Lytechinus pictus: one gene and its partner. Each later gene encodes a partner of the first gene's protein in a complex. Links are inferred from orthologs where the notes say so. Each region holds a gene or a part of one and is shown on either strand. Other genes may lie near its edges. The genes, in order: dolichol-phosphate mannosyltransferase subunit 1-like and dolichol-phosphate mannosyltransferase subunit 3-like.

Region 1 (7,554 bases):
TTCTATTATCCAGTATTTATCAATTATATTATGTGGTATTAGATTATGAGTTTCCTTCAAGATCAATAAATCTTAAAAATCAAGGAGTTTTCTTAAGAGATAGAGTGACAATGAGATGCAAAGTCATAATAGCTTCCACTTTCTAAAGTACACAAGAATACACAGGTGCACTGTATATGGACATTTAACACATTACAAATTATATCTCAAAGCCTTATTTTTACCTGAAATTGGGTGACATATTGTATGATTGCAGTTTGCAAACTGTGAAAAACCCTCAGAATTTTACAAATCTTAAATCAACATTACCACAAACTTCCTCATTACAAAAAAATGATTCAATATTAGTTTGTGGGAATATATACATGTTATGTGTCAGTTAAAGTCACATGTGGCCAGTCCAGTAATTTCAAGTTATATTTAAAAAAATATTGCTACATTTATTTTTGCTGTCCCCATGAAAATTAGCAATGGGTCTGCTCATATATTTACCGACCAGGGCTCCGTAACACAAGGGTTTGCGATGAATTGCAAATATGAAAAAGCCGCACTGATTGGCTCCCGGTCAGTATTTTAAACAGAGTGCGCATGTAACGATGATCTTGATTGGTCATTGGTATTTAGCGATTTGCAAACCTTTGTGTTACGGAGCACAGATGTGCCGGGAGCAGTGAAAAGTAGACATTACAATAGCATATTCCCTTTTGTAACTGGTCAGTACGTTTGTAAATACGCAGGAATCTTGTCTTAACATCGGACAGTAAAAAATCCAATGAAGCAGATGCCTGACATATTTTATCCTCGTGGCATCAAACTGGCTTTAAAGGGATGATGGTTCTTCATCTCTTAAAAACTTCTTGGAAAAATAAAGTCAACTACAAATTTATAGCACGAAAGGTACCACACATTCAAAATGAAAATATAGACTCTTCAGTGTGTATCAAAAAAAAAGTTTACACTTAGAAAAACCCTGTAAACTTATATATAAGTAATAAATATCCTGAAGATTTTCCACATTTTAACATTGGTACAGATCCATTTAATAAGCGAATGAAATAACCGTTGAAAAGTATTTCCGCTTGAGAGAGCACCACTTACTTTTGAAAAGTTAGTGAAAAACGATTTGTGTGGAACTTTGAAATAGTTATGGTCGCATTTCATAAGTCGGGTATGCAAAAAGGGTGGCGTATGAACAATTTTCCACACGGTGCCATGGATAAATTGTTGCTACATCACAGCCCCATGGCCAAATTTGTTGTGTAAGGTCTCATTTTGAAGCTAGAACTATAGGCTTAATATATTACTATGAATTAGATCAATACAATATCAGGAACAAAAACTATAGCACATTAAGTTTGAAGTAATAGGGGTGGCGGAGCCGGTGGATGTGGTGAATGATAGAATATTAATTAAACCTAATTAACAACTTACTATAATATGTAATATGACTGTTATCCTCATATTTCTGGGCATTTTAAAGCAGGGAACTAAATGTCAAAAAAAAATTGACAATTTTGAAAATATGCAGCAATGAAATACATAAGTATGTCAGCTCTGATCTGCAACCTAATCAATTAGTAAACCAGAGAAATTTGATTAATTAACTAATTTGTAATCTTAATTTTTAGTACAAATGTTGTGTATCATTGCAACAAACATTTCTACCCATGATGTCATTTTGCCAAGCATATAAATACAGTGACAGGTATTTTGGGGGCAAAAATGTGAAATTAAATACTGTTAATTAATTAGTATAATAAATATGCATACAATAATAGATAATTATTTGATTTTGGTACAGATTTAATTATTGATGTTTTTCAAGATTATAACTGCAAAATACTAGGGTGATCCAATGTTGCATTAACTTTTGACACTATTTTCTGTGCAGCAGGTCCAATTTGAGAAATACACATTTCAAAATTCACATTTACATTGACGTCTATGTAATAATTAGCTGTTAATTAGTCATTTTAAGGAAAAATAAAGGTATTCGAGACTTAAAACCTTTTCATTATTTAGAGAATAGTAATAGCTACAACATATCAAAAAATAAAATTTTGACCATTTTTACCCTGTTCGCGAAATTGGACCACCTTATGACATGCGACCATATATATGAATAAAAGTAGAACTTAATCATGAAGAACACATGGAATTTAGCTAGTAAAATTGATTTGAAAATATCTTTTACCTTTTTTCACTTGTTTCCTTGCCCAAAACACTTTGAAGAGTGCCATTGCACCCCATCCCACTCCCCCACACACCGAGGCCATCGTGACGATCTTTGCTTTACACTGAGCTGTGATTTATATGAAATGGCTTAGGCGTGATTCTCATTTTGTTAATCATTGTCAAACTTGGGAAAACTGTGGAGAAACAAGTATTAATTGAAAAATGAAATGTAAACCCACTTTAAATGATAAAAACTTGGTGACAAATGCTGGAGATGTCTGATATAAACTTTTGTTTAGATTCAGTTATGTCCTCAGATCCAGCTGGCACAAAAAGTGTAAAGGCTGTACTTACTAAGTGTTAAAATTTTAATTTGGATGGCAAAATTGAAATGCTTGAATGTATCTGTTTTATTTCAATTGAGTAAAGTGCAAGGGAAATGTATGAGAAATGTTTCGCAGGGTAAGTTTGATTTCGCCTGTTACCCATGACACAGCGTGAAAACAAGAATTTCTGCGAGCTTTATAAAAATGGAAAGTGCTCACTCAAGTGTTACACTCTGTCAAAACTTTTACTTTCATTGGATAGATGAGACCCAAACCCAAGAATATATGTGAAAAAAATACACACATGCCATATATTTTTTAATTCCCAGGGCTTTTGCAAAGAGTATAAACTTTTTTTTTGATACGTACTGTATAAAAACACACTAACCAAACTAATTCGCTTTGAAAAGATAAATTATTTTATTGTTTCCCCAAAGTTTAAAACTAAAATGCATAACATGTGGAAAGTGAACAAGCAATGAACCTGGTAAATAATAGATCAGATGTAACTTATTGAGGTACCAATGTCACGTGCTGGTCTAGACCGGAAATCCAAGACCAGATGGCTCAAGACCAAAACCAAGATGAAACGTAACTGGTCTTGAGACCAAGACCAATCTTGAGAGTCGAGATCTTCAACAAGGATTTCTTTTTTGAAGAAACATATTTTCTCACATTTCAAGCTTGGCTTTCATGAGGAGCACGGTACAGACCATGCGTTAATCTCTTTTGTTTAAAATGTTCTCCATCATTCGATTGATCGTCCCACACTGTAGGTATTGTCCTGGACTTCTCCAATGCTTTAGTATGACCCTCTCAACCATGACATTTTACTTCTCAGACTGTTTCACCATGGTGTGCGTGAGAAGGCCTTGAAGTAGATAAGAAGTTATCTGTATTATCTCTTAAACAGGAAGCCAAGGGCTAGTCCAATTTCACTGGCTGCCAGTCTAGCTCATCTGTTGATCTCGGCAGACTTCAGTGGCCCTTCAAACGCTTTCTCTGAGGTACAAAACTCCTCCTCTTTGCTGCAGATGGAGCATCGTAGGACCAGTGTGCAAAGCAGCTCCTCCCTCTTTGACAAATCTTCCAAAGGAATCAGGTGCCCTGTAAAGTCAGGAAATATCATAATAATAATAATAGGCATTTATATAGCGCCATCTATCTAGAAATAATCTATTCCGAGGCGCATTGTTTATCATTATTATTACCCCGGCTTTAGCTTGAGCTGCCTCTCAGCGCTCAGTGCATTCAAGGAATTAATCCTGCCGGGTACCCATTCACTTCACCTTGGTTGAGTGCAGCACAATGCGGATAAATTTCTTGCTGAAGGAAATTACGCTATGGCTGGGATTCGAACCCACGACCCTCTGTTTCAAAGTCAGAAGACTAATCCACTGGGCCACAACGCTCCACATCAAGTATTATTGAATAGCCAATCAATTAAAGGTCAAGTCCACCCCAGAAAAGTGTTGATTTGAATCAATAGAGAAAAATCTAACAAGCACAAAAATGAAAATTTCATCCAAATCAGATGTAAAATAAGAAAGTTACATGACATTTTGAAGTTTCACTAATTTTTCACAAACTAGTTATATGCACCAAATGAGATAGTTGATGATGTCCCTCACTCGCTATTTCTTTGTTTTTATTGTTTGAAATTGCAATATTTACAAATTTGACAATAAGGACAAACTTGACTGAACCATAGAATATTAAAATGACGTTAATTCCACATATTTAGGGAGGAAACTACATTCACATGACAGTGAGGAGAAAATTAAATATTTTATATAATAAAATACAAAAGAAATAGTGAGTGATGTCATCAGTTCCCTCATAAAAAGTCATATATTTGCATACCGACTGGGATGTCATGTGCGTATTAACTATTTTGTGAACATAAGCGAAACTTAAAACATAATATAACTGTCTTATTTTACATTCGATTTAGATAAAATTTTCAGTGTTGTGCTTGTTGGATTTTTCTCTTTTTATTATTCAAATCAACATTTTGTTAGGGTGGACTTGTACTTTATCTACAAAATATAGAATCCATTTCAGAGCAATATTATCTTGATTATCAAGCAAGAGATTGATTATTGCAAATTTGCAATCCATTTTTACGATGGGGGAATTGTAACTAAGATGGTCTTTTATTCATTATATTTTCATTTTTTTGCACACATAGACAGAGCCAGGCAGATCTCGATCTAACTAAGATTTAGATATTCATGAAGATATTTAGGTTTAAGGGCATAAGCCATAATAAGTGCATTTTAAAATGGGTATTGATCTACATGACCTACATTTATAAAGAGTAAAGTATCAAAAATAAGCAATAAGAAGTACAAACCTCCTTGGCACACATGAGTCCTTTGTAAAGCAGATGCAAGCCGTTTCCCACTGACCAGGTAAAAACCATCAAGATCCCTACGTAAATCTTGGCATGTGGGACCACTTTGTTGTAGATCGGGGCTCTCCATGGTTTTGTTGAGGGATAGCTTTCTTTCTAATACTGGTGTTGCTTCTTGTACCTCCTCTTCTCCATTTTTCAGCTTCTTCATGACATGGTATGGTGTTCCTCTAAAGAAATTCCTCTTTTTTTATGTATTTTGGGGTTTTGCGAGGCATTTTGAGTCAAGTGTTTACACAGCCAGAGGGCACATGAGTTTATTATGTCCCTCACTCCCTCTAGATGGCAGTATATTAGCATGCATGTATGTCTAAAACTAGTCTAGGAATTCAGACCTTGTTCTCTTCATTTTGATAGGTTTTGGTTTACAATTTTATGTTTAATGGATTTTCAATGAAAACTAGAATGTTAATTCGTCATGAGGACGAATTAAGTGATCTGTCCCTGATTCTCATAATCACAAATACAATCAACACGTTTATTCAGATCAATATGATCATCATGATGAAAACTGAACTTTTATAATGGAACTTAGAACTTGTTGAATACTCTTGAAAAGGGAGAAATGATAAGGTTGTGTGAAAAGGTATAGGTAATACACATAAATAAAAAAATAAAAATTTTAATCTCTTTTATTGTGCAATATTTAGGTGGTCAGTCTATGACAGATCACCTCTTGATTTCGTTAGAATTTTCTTTATTTTTATATATTTATTTTTTTATAGCCAATTCTTGTTGCCAAGTTTTCTCTAAATTGGCTCTATCAATTTTACTGAATTTCATGTCATTTATAAAGTCTATCTTAGAGATGCCATAATAAGCTTTTCAAGGTCATCTGGTCATGATGACGTCATCTAGGCGCCATTTTGTAAAATTCTTTATTTGATCATCCCAATCCCTCGCCAAAAGCATCGCAAATTAATGCAAGCTTGAACTGTTCATTAAAACTGTTTTTTTATGGAAAGGCCATCTAAGTGATCAATATCAAATAAAAAATAAATAAAAACTCACCGATTTCTCTACGTTAAGCTCATCCATTTGTCTCGATTACGTCTATGGTGTTCAACAGTGACAAATCGAAAAAAGAAAAAAGATCTCACGAAACCAAGAGGCTCATCAACCCGTTTGGACAAAATATTGCTCATTCCATTCCATTCCTTGTTTTTATTTGGCAATAATGCTCATAATGCATTCTGGATAGCCTCAATCAAGACAAATTCGCAATTTTGTTTCATATCGATAAAACCTTCACCCTTCACCCATATTAATCCAGGGCGGTAAAAAACGGGGGTTTGCAAAAGTGATATCATGATGAAAATGAACATTCAACAACAATATGAACAATAAATGAAAAACAAAAATAATAATAGAAATAACAATGATAGTATGAAACAAAAAGAGACTGATTGAGAGAAGAAGCAAAACCAATAAAAAAAGCATATTTCCTTTCACCATATATGACAAGATACATTTCATTATAGAATAAACTACGCTGATGGTGCTACAACAATTATTCTTGTGTATAAAAATAGAGAAAAAACTATTGAGTGTCAGTGGAGAAAGAGACTACTATCGTTGTGGTAAGAAGCATTTTATCCAGCTCTGTAGAGGTCTGTGGTGTGGTTGTGGTGCCGTGAGGCTAATTACAACAGAAGGCAAAAGCTATTTGTTCGACCCAACCCATTCAATTTTTTTTCAATTTGATAAATTGCTGATTGACACAAGTGTATGAATATGATTGAAAATCTAACAATGATTCTAGAAATTATGGTAACTACTTAACTGCCTTTGCCCAAATTGGGAAGATGTATCAATGACTTGGAACTATTTTTTGACTGGCGGAAGAATTAGGGCTATTTTACTGTTTCAGTTGATGAATTTGATCCCATCATACATGTAGTTATCTTCATAAATGGCAAATTTCAAATTTCACTTTTCATCTATACTTGTAAACCAAAAACAAAAATTGTATAACACATCTACAACTACTAACAGGTATAAAAACCAGGAATTTACTTTTAGCCCAGCAGTGCTAAAATAAAACCCATGAAACTAAACAAGTGGAACGCCTCTGGCAGTCTCGCCTGCATTACGCAATTTAATATAGCAGCAGTGCTAACTTTGAAAACTACTATAAAATAATTATTCACAAAAACATCATTCATATAATGACATAATACCACGTTCATTGACCATAAATGACATTTGAACAGAGACTTAAGACTGTCAACTACTCCCATGTCCACATTTCATTCACTCTATCCATAAACTTTCAAAGTTATGATGGCACTTCAACAATTACCCCAACATGGCCTAAGTTTATTGACCTTAACTGACCTTTGACTTGGTTTTGTGACCTGAAACTCACAGGGGATGTTCAGTGATGCTTGATTACTCTTATATCCCAAGTTTTATGAACTAGATCCATAAACTTTCAGAGTTAGGATGGTGATTCAACAAATACCCCAACACGGCCAAAGTTCATTGACCTTTAATGACCTTTGACCATGGTCATGTGACCTGAAACTCGTACAGGATGTTCAGTGATACTTGATTACTCTTATGTCCAAGTTTTATGAACTAGATCCATAAACTTTCAGAGTTAGGATGGTAATTTAACAAATACCCCCAACACGG
Region 2 (7,386 bases), on another chromosome or scaffold:
CGTCCGTAATACGACCTTTCAAAGTTCACGGCGGCATCCGCTATCACCACGAGATTGAAAATAAAATGTATATCATCATAAACGATGTAAGAGAGTAACGCAATAAGCTCCGTCAGTAGCACGATCTTTAAAAGTTCACGGCGGCATCCGCTATCACCACGAGGTTGAAAATAAAATGTATATCATCATAAACGATGTTAGAGAGAAACGCAGCGAGCTCCGTCGGTAATACGACCTTTCAAAGTTCACGGCGGCATCCGCTATCACCACGAGGTTGAAAATAAAATGTATATCATCATAAACGATGTAAGAGAGTAACGCAGTGAGCTCCGTCGGTAATACGACCTTTCAAAGTTCACGGCGGCATCCGCTATCACCACGAGATTGAAAATAAAATGTATATCATCATAAACGATGTAAGAGAGTAACGCAATAAGCTCCGTCAGTAGCACGATCTTTAAAAGTTCACGGCGGGGTCCGCTATCACCACGAGGTTGAAAATAAAATGTAAATCATCATAAACGATGTAAGAGAGTAACGCAATGAGCTCCGTCAATAGTTCGACCTTTCAAAGTTCACGGCGGCATCCGCTATCACCACGAGGTTGAAGAGAAGATTTATATCATTATAAAGGGGGTAAGAGAGTAGCGCAGTGAGCTCCGTCGGTAATACGACCTTTCAAAGTTCACGGCGGCATCCGCTATCACCACGAGGTTGAAAATAAAATGTATATCATCATAAACGATGTAAGAGAGTAACGCAGTGAGCTCCGTCGGTAATACGACCTTTCAAAGTTCACGGCGGCATCCGCTATCACCACGAGGTTGAAGAGAAGATTTATATCATTATAAAGGGGGTAAGAGAGTAACGCAATGAGCTCCGTCGGTAATACGACCTTTCAAAGTTCACGGCGGCTTCCGCTATCACCACGAGGTTGAAAATAAAATGAATATCATCATAAACGATGTAAGAGAGTAACGCAATAAGCTCCGTCAGTAGCACGATCTTTAAAAGTTCACGGCGGGGTCCGCTATCACCACGAGGTTGAAAATAAAATGTATATCATCATAAACGATGTAAGAGAGTAACGCAATAAGCTCCGTCAGTAGCACGATCTTTAAAAGTTCACGGCGGGGTCCGCTATCACCACGAGGTTGAAAATAAAATGTATATCATCATAAACGATGTAAGAGAGTAACGCAATAAGCTCCGTCAATAGTACAGTCTTTAAAAGTTTCTGGCGGGGTCCGCTATCACCACGAGGTTGAAGAGAAGATTTATATCATTATAAACGATGTAAGAGAGTAGCGCAGTGAGCTCCGTCGGTAATACGACCTTTAAAAGTTCACGGCGGGGTCCGCTATCACCACGAGGTTGAAAATAAAATGTAAATCATCATAAACGATGTAAGAGAGTAACGCAATGAGCTCCGTCAATAGTACGACCTTTCAAAGTTCACGGCGGCATCCGCTATCACCACGAGGTTGAAAATAAAATGTATATCATCATAAACGATGTAAGAGAGTAACGCAATAAGCTCCGTCAATAGTACGACCTTTCAAAGTTCACGGCGGCATCCGCTATCACCACGAGGTTGAAAATAAAATGTATATCATCATAAACGATGTAAGAGAGTAACGCAATAAGCTCCGTCAATAGTACAGTCTTTAAAAGTTTCTGGCGGGGTCCGCTATCACCACGAGGTTGAAGAGAAGATTTATATCATTATAAACGATGTAAGAGAGTAGCGCAGTGAGCTCCGTCGGTAATACGACCTTTAAAAGTTCACGGCGGGGTCCGCTATCACCACGAGGTTGAAAATAAAATGTAAATCATCATAAACGATGTAAGAGAGTAACGCAATGAGCTCCGTCAATAGTACGACCTTTCAAAGTTCACGGCGGCATCCGCTATCACCACGAGGTTGAAAATAAAATGTATATCATCATAAACGATGTAAGAGAGTAACGCAATAAGCTCCGTCAGTAGCACGATCTTTAAAAGTTCACGGCGGGGTCCGCTATCACCACGAGGTTGAAGAGAAGATTTATATCATTATAAAGGGGGTAAGAGAGTAGCGCAGTGAGCTCCGTCGGTAATACGACCTTTCAAAGTTCACGGCGGCATCCGCTATCACCACGAGGTTGAAAATAAAATGTATATCATCATAAACGATGTAAGAGAGTAACGCAGTGAGCTCCGTCGGTAATACGACCTTTCAAAGTTCACGGCGGCATCCGCTATCACCATGAGTTGGAAGAGAAGATATCTATCCCCTTAAACATCGCCATAGATAATACCGCGACTTTCTCCCTGAATAATGCGACCTCTAAATAGCTAGCACCTCAAAAACAATCTTGAAATATGTTCTGAGCGATCACGCACTGTAACCAGATCTACGCCGATTTTTTATTTTCGATTTTTTCCTTCAAGGGGCATGATCGAAGATCGGCAAGTGATTGCCGATTGTGGTGAAATCGAATGGAATCGGTTGCCGATTGCAAAATCGGTTACAAGCTTACTCAAAATGGTGGAAAAATAATGAATTCAGGGCATTTCATGTGACGGCCTCAAAATGCAGCCTTTGTCATCAAAATCCCCGAATAGTGTGCAAAGTGAATGAGTGCGCAGACATGGGGTACCATTTTTTTTTCAATCTGAAATTGAAAATGACTGCCCAAAGGTTTTTCAAGAAAATCTTATATTTTCTTTCATTTTTTAATGAGAAATTTGGTACACTTAATAATATAAGGAACACTATTAACCAAAAGATTTTGTGAAATAAGAAGAAATTCATGTTAAATCTTAACTCAAATTGTTAGGTGCGCAGACTTGGGGCCCACCATCATACTGTCTAAGTTAGGCAGACATGGTCATGGCCATGGGTATTCTTCAAAATTGGGTAACTTAGATTTAGAACTAACACCATTCCTAACGCGTGGGTCAAAGTAATAAATAAGAGATCATCAAGCGATTCAAGTCCTCTTTTTTATAATCGGTACCGTAAAATTAATCAAAATATGACTATCATCTAGTATACCCATGTAAGTTCTAAAAAATAATTCGAAACAAGTACCGTAGATCATGTAGATTGGTTTCCTCGGTCCAACTAGTCAAGTCCTAACGTTACGTACGTGTTCCCGCAAAGAGTTAGATCCACGTCAAATATAGGGGTGTGGATGAGAAATGCCGCATCCTGCTTGTATTAATAGTCGATAAACTGCTTTTCTCAGATAAACGCTCCCCTCCCCCTAAAAAATCAATAATTTTATTACTTTCTTGCGAGGAAAGAGGTTTTAAGAATTTGAAGTTTATCCGTTGATAGAGTACAATTTGAAAAAGTTCATTATCACTGATAAAAAACACTAATTTGATGTCAATCATTATTTATAGCTCTACCTATACAGTGCGTATAAAAAAAACAGGACAGTTTTGAATTAAGTCTATAAAAAAATTGTTTCAAATTATGTTATCTATATTTTGATGTTAATAGATGCTATGAGATCTTATCTTTGAAATGCCATTAAAAAAAAAAAAATTGTTCATGCTTGAGCGAACACGGGACGTTTTTGTCGGGGGTTGGGCATGCGCCCAAATGGCAGAAATTAGAAATTTGATGATTAAACTTTTGGCTAATCAGCAGACTTCCTCTATAATCTTTTCATTATCTTTGCCATAATTTTCGAATTATGCTGTCAAATTTCATTTACAAATTTATTTATTTACCTGAATTATTTTGTTTTTCATTTAAACTTCTTTTACTTTTGAATTTTCCTAAAAGGGGAATCCAACCCAAATAAAACTTGTTTTTATAAGAAAAAGAAAAATCAGACAAGTTGATAGCTATTTAAACGATATTGGACAAAGAACAAGAAAGTTATGAATTTTTAAAAGTTGTAAATATTGGTATATAATCACTATACCCATGGAGACTTCAAATTGGCCGCATATGGGATGTCACAATGATGTAAGGCAAGGACTACTCTTCCATGTACTCCAATATATGGCTAAAATGTCATTTTTTCCAAAGGTTTTATTTCAAGTTATATTTTTCTTTCATGAGGACATAAAACAATATACTACCTGGATTATATTTAGATTACTGCCCCATGGGAACGGGTACTTAGGAGAAAACCACAAATCCCTGATAATAAAGTACATGGCCTATATGGGAAAGTTGCCCTTGCCCCCCTTGTCATAATTTACTTACTCAATTGCCAATTTGAAATCTACATACTATTAGTGATCTCAATCTTAAAGCAGCTATCACTTTCTTATTGCTTGTCCGATTTCTTTCAAGCTTTCACCATTCTGTTTAAATTATTTTTCTCCTTCCCAATTAACACAACATTTTATGGCCAAGGCTGGATTCCCCTTTAAGTAAGAAAAGAAGACTTTTTGTCAACCCAGCTAAGATTTGCATTATTAATTGGGAGAATTTGTAATTATTCAAATCCTTTTATTATGTGAAACAAATTATGTTCTGTTATATACCTATAAAAGAATCCTATTTTCAAGGGGTTATTGAATCCTTCATCAATTCAAGTTTAATTATGTGCTTGACAAATGCAGGACAAACAGGAAAGGATTTACGTCTTTCAATGGCAATATGATGTATTGAGTCAATTTTGAAGGAGCAATTATGGCAGATCGAGAAAAATGTATTAAAACGTTGTGAAGCGAGCAAGCAAAAATTTCAATTTTTTAATTAAAATATCAAATTTTGTGATTTTGACATGATATTCAGAAAACGATATCATATTTCACTTTCTATGTTTTCTGTTATTTTCCTATCCACTTTTGTTTTCTTGGTAATGATTTTTTTATTTGGGGGCGCCCCAAGCCCCCACCCATCAGTATGCCACTGTTCAAAGGCACCGTAACCTTTGTAGCACACATTGAATGATTTTGAAAAAAAAACCACGCCCTCCCATACTTCGGTTTAAAAAAAATGTTCTTGCCTAAAGAAGGAATATTCAAAGCTAAAAGAGAACATATTAAAAAGGAACGACAGAACTATTCAAGCAAATAAGTAGATTTGGAAATGAATTTTGACCTCATAATTCGAAGATTATGGCAAAGATAATGAAAAGGTTAAGAGGAAGTCTGTTGATTAGCAAAAAGTCCGACCATCATATTTTTCATTTCATGCCATTTTGGCGCAAGCCTCATTTTTAACCCCAGACAAAAACATTCCGTGCTCGCTCAAGCATGAACAAAACTAAAATATTTTAATGGCATTTGAAGGATAAGACTTCAGAGCACCAATTGACACCAAAATGTAGAGATCATATAAAACAAAAATTGTATAGACTTTTAAAATCTGTCCCGTTTTTTTTTATACGCACTGTATAGCTGAGAGTTATCTAAAAAAAAATGACATTAATAACAGTGATATACAGAGCAATATGCAGTGAAATGAGAAACACACATTCAGGCATAGGTGGATCCAGGGGCCCCACTCCCCTATTGGCGGAGCAAAAAAAATGAAAAAAGGGGAAAGAAAAAAAGAACTTATAAAGAACTTAGGGGAAAGAGGAGAAAAAAAAGGATGGGAAACATATTATACAAGGAGGGAGACGAGTGAATAAAATAAGATGAGGGGAAGAAAATAATTTTAAAAATCTTTTAAAAATCTTTCATGTCACTATATAATTTTTTTGCTCGCGTTCGCATTGCCTTCAGGTGATTTACATAGCTTGCTCAATATATGGAGCTTAAACAGCGGCGTAACAGGGGTCGGTGGCCAGGGGGGGCAAGAGCCAAAAATTTCCCGTACCTACTAATTATGAACAGGTGTAATGGTGTAGTGAGGCGACTATTTTTGAGAAGGCCAGATATTGCGTATTGGCAGAATTTATCTTTAAAAAAAGTTGCAAGCGAGGGAAGCGAGCGAGCAAAAATTTTGACCTCCAATTTTGTGATAGATTTTGACATATCCAGATAATGATATATTTCACTGTTCTCTCTTTAGCCCGGGGGGGCCACTTACATTGACGAGTGGATACCATGCGCGACCAAAAAAACACGTAAAAAGGATGTCTTTTTCACGATAGGGCACGTTATGTACGTAACGTGATAAGGGTGTCAAAAACACAAAAATAATGAAAAAAGGGTATCTATTTCGCTAAGAAAATTACGTGTTTAGGGTCAAATTTGCGGGGATGATAAAACAAAATTAAAATGTTTTATAAAGGATGTCCTTTTTGCCCCAACACTTCGTGTTTAGAGTCCGATTTGCGCGAGGTGTAGAAGGTGGGGTCGTACTAAACCAAATAAGGTAAAGCCGAAGACCGAAGGACCCGTAACAATAAAACATTCCTGTACTTGTTTAGGGGTTCATTTCAGGAAATATTTGCCAAGAGTATCGTTTTATTTCCAATACTTGTTAAGGGTAGGGTTTTAGACGCTAATACTTGTTAAGGGGTGCATTTTCAGAATATGGAAATTACGTGTTTAGGGTGCTTTTCGAGACGCACTATCCACTCGTGAATGGAAGTGGCCCCCCCCCCCCCCCGGGCTCTTTAGATTCCCTTTTTTTGTGGTCTGTACGCCACTGTGAACAAGATTCGTTGCGGCAGTAGCGTGAAGAGTAAAAAAAAAACGAGGGGCGCAGTATAGCACATGTGCTAAAAAGCTGCTTTACATAAGTCCCGAGCGAGCGAAGCGATCGAGAAAAAAAAATCACCTTTTCATGGAAATCTAACTTTGAGCTATTTTTTACATTATATTCAGTAAATAAAATCATATCCTACACTTTTCCTTCGCTTTTCTTTCCTCTTTTTTTTTGCTCTTGTTTGTAGAACTTTTTGGGGCCATGGCCCAACCCTTCGATACGCAGTGCTGTGCGGTTGGGGTCCGGGATGGAGCCCCCGAAACTTCTTGATATTATATCAAAGCCATTTAAACCTAGCAGATTGCCACTATTTTAATCAAATCGCGGGCATAAACAGAATAGCGCTTTTACAAAACACTTTTATTCAACTCAGTTGCGTAATGAACCAAATATTTTGAGGGGGCAAAACATAGCAATGTGGGAAAATTTTGTAAAAAGTCGCCAGCGTGCAAAGCGAGCTGGAAAAAAAAATTGCCTTTTGAAATTAAATTCTAATTATGTGATATATTTTTCTATCATATTCAGCAAATAACACATTTCATTGGTTCCATTCATTTCATTATACGTTAATTGTCTCCTATAATTTCTTTTATTTCCTTTTGGGTGTGGAACCAAGACCCCCCCCCCCCCCTCCCCGCGCCTGTATGCCAGTGATTGAACGTGATTGAACGGGGGCGTTATAGAATCATTTGAAGGTTATAATGAAGAGCCTATACTGCGCGGGGTCTGGGGCAAAGCCCCGGTAACTTATTTGCATAAATTTGTAGCAA

Evidence for each region.
Region 2: dolichol-phosphate mannosyltransferase subunit 1-like (region 1) and dolichol-phosphate mannosyltransferase subunit 3-like share a complex: the UniProt entries of both Homo sapiens proteins name them as parts of the dolichol-phosphate mannose (DPM) synthase complex. The link is inferred for Lytechinus pictus from reciprocal best matches to the Homo sapiens genes DPM1 and DPM3.

Annotation. Positions count from the first base shown.
Region 1 is NC_087246.1:37,878,788-37,886,341, forward strand, and holds the start of dolichol-phosphate mannosyltransferase subunit 1-like, read right to left. Parts: upstream 3,218-7,554; coding exon 3,177-3,217; intron 1-3,176. UniProt on the Homo sapiens protein: Transfers mannose from GDP-mannose to dolichol monophosphate to form dolichol phosphate mannose (Dol-P-Man) which is the mannosyl donor in pathways leading to N-glycosylation, glycosyl phosphatidylinositol membrane anchoring, and O-mannosylation of proteins; catalytic subunit of the dolichol-phosphate mannose (DPM) synthase complex.
Region 2 is NC_087247.1:69,060,016-69,067,401, reverse strand, and holds the start of dolichol-phosphate mannosyltransferase subunit 3-like, read right to left. Parts: upstream 3,170-7,386; 5' UTR 3,077-3,169; intron 1-3,076. UniProt on the Homo sapiens protein: Stabilizer subunit of the dolichol-phosphate mannose (DPM) synthase complex; tethers catalytic subunit DPM1 to the endoplasmic reticulum.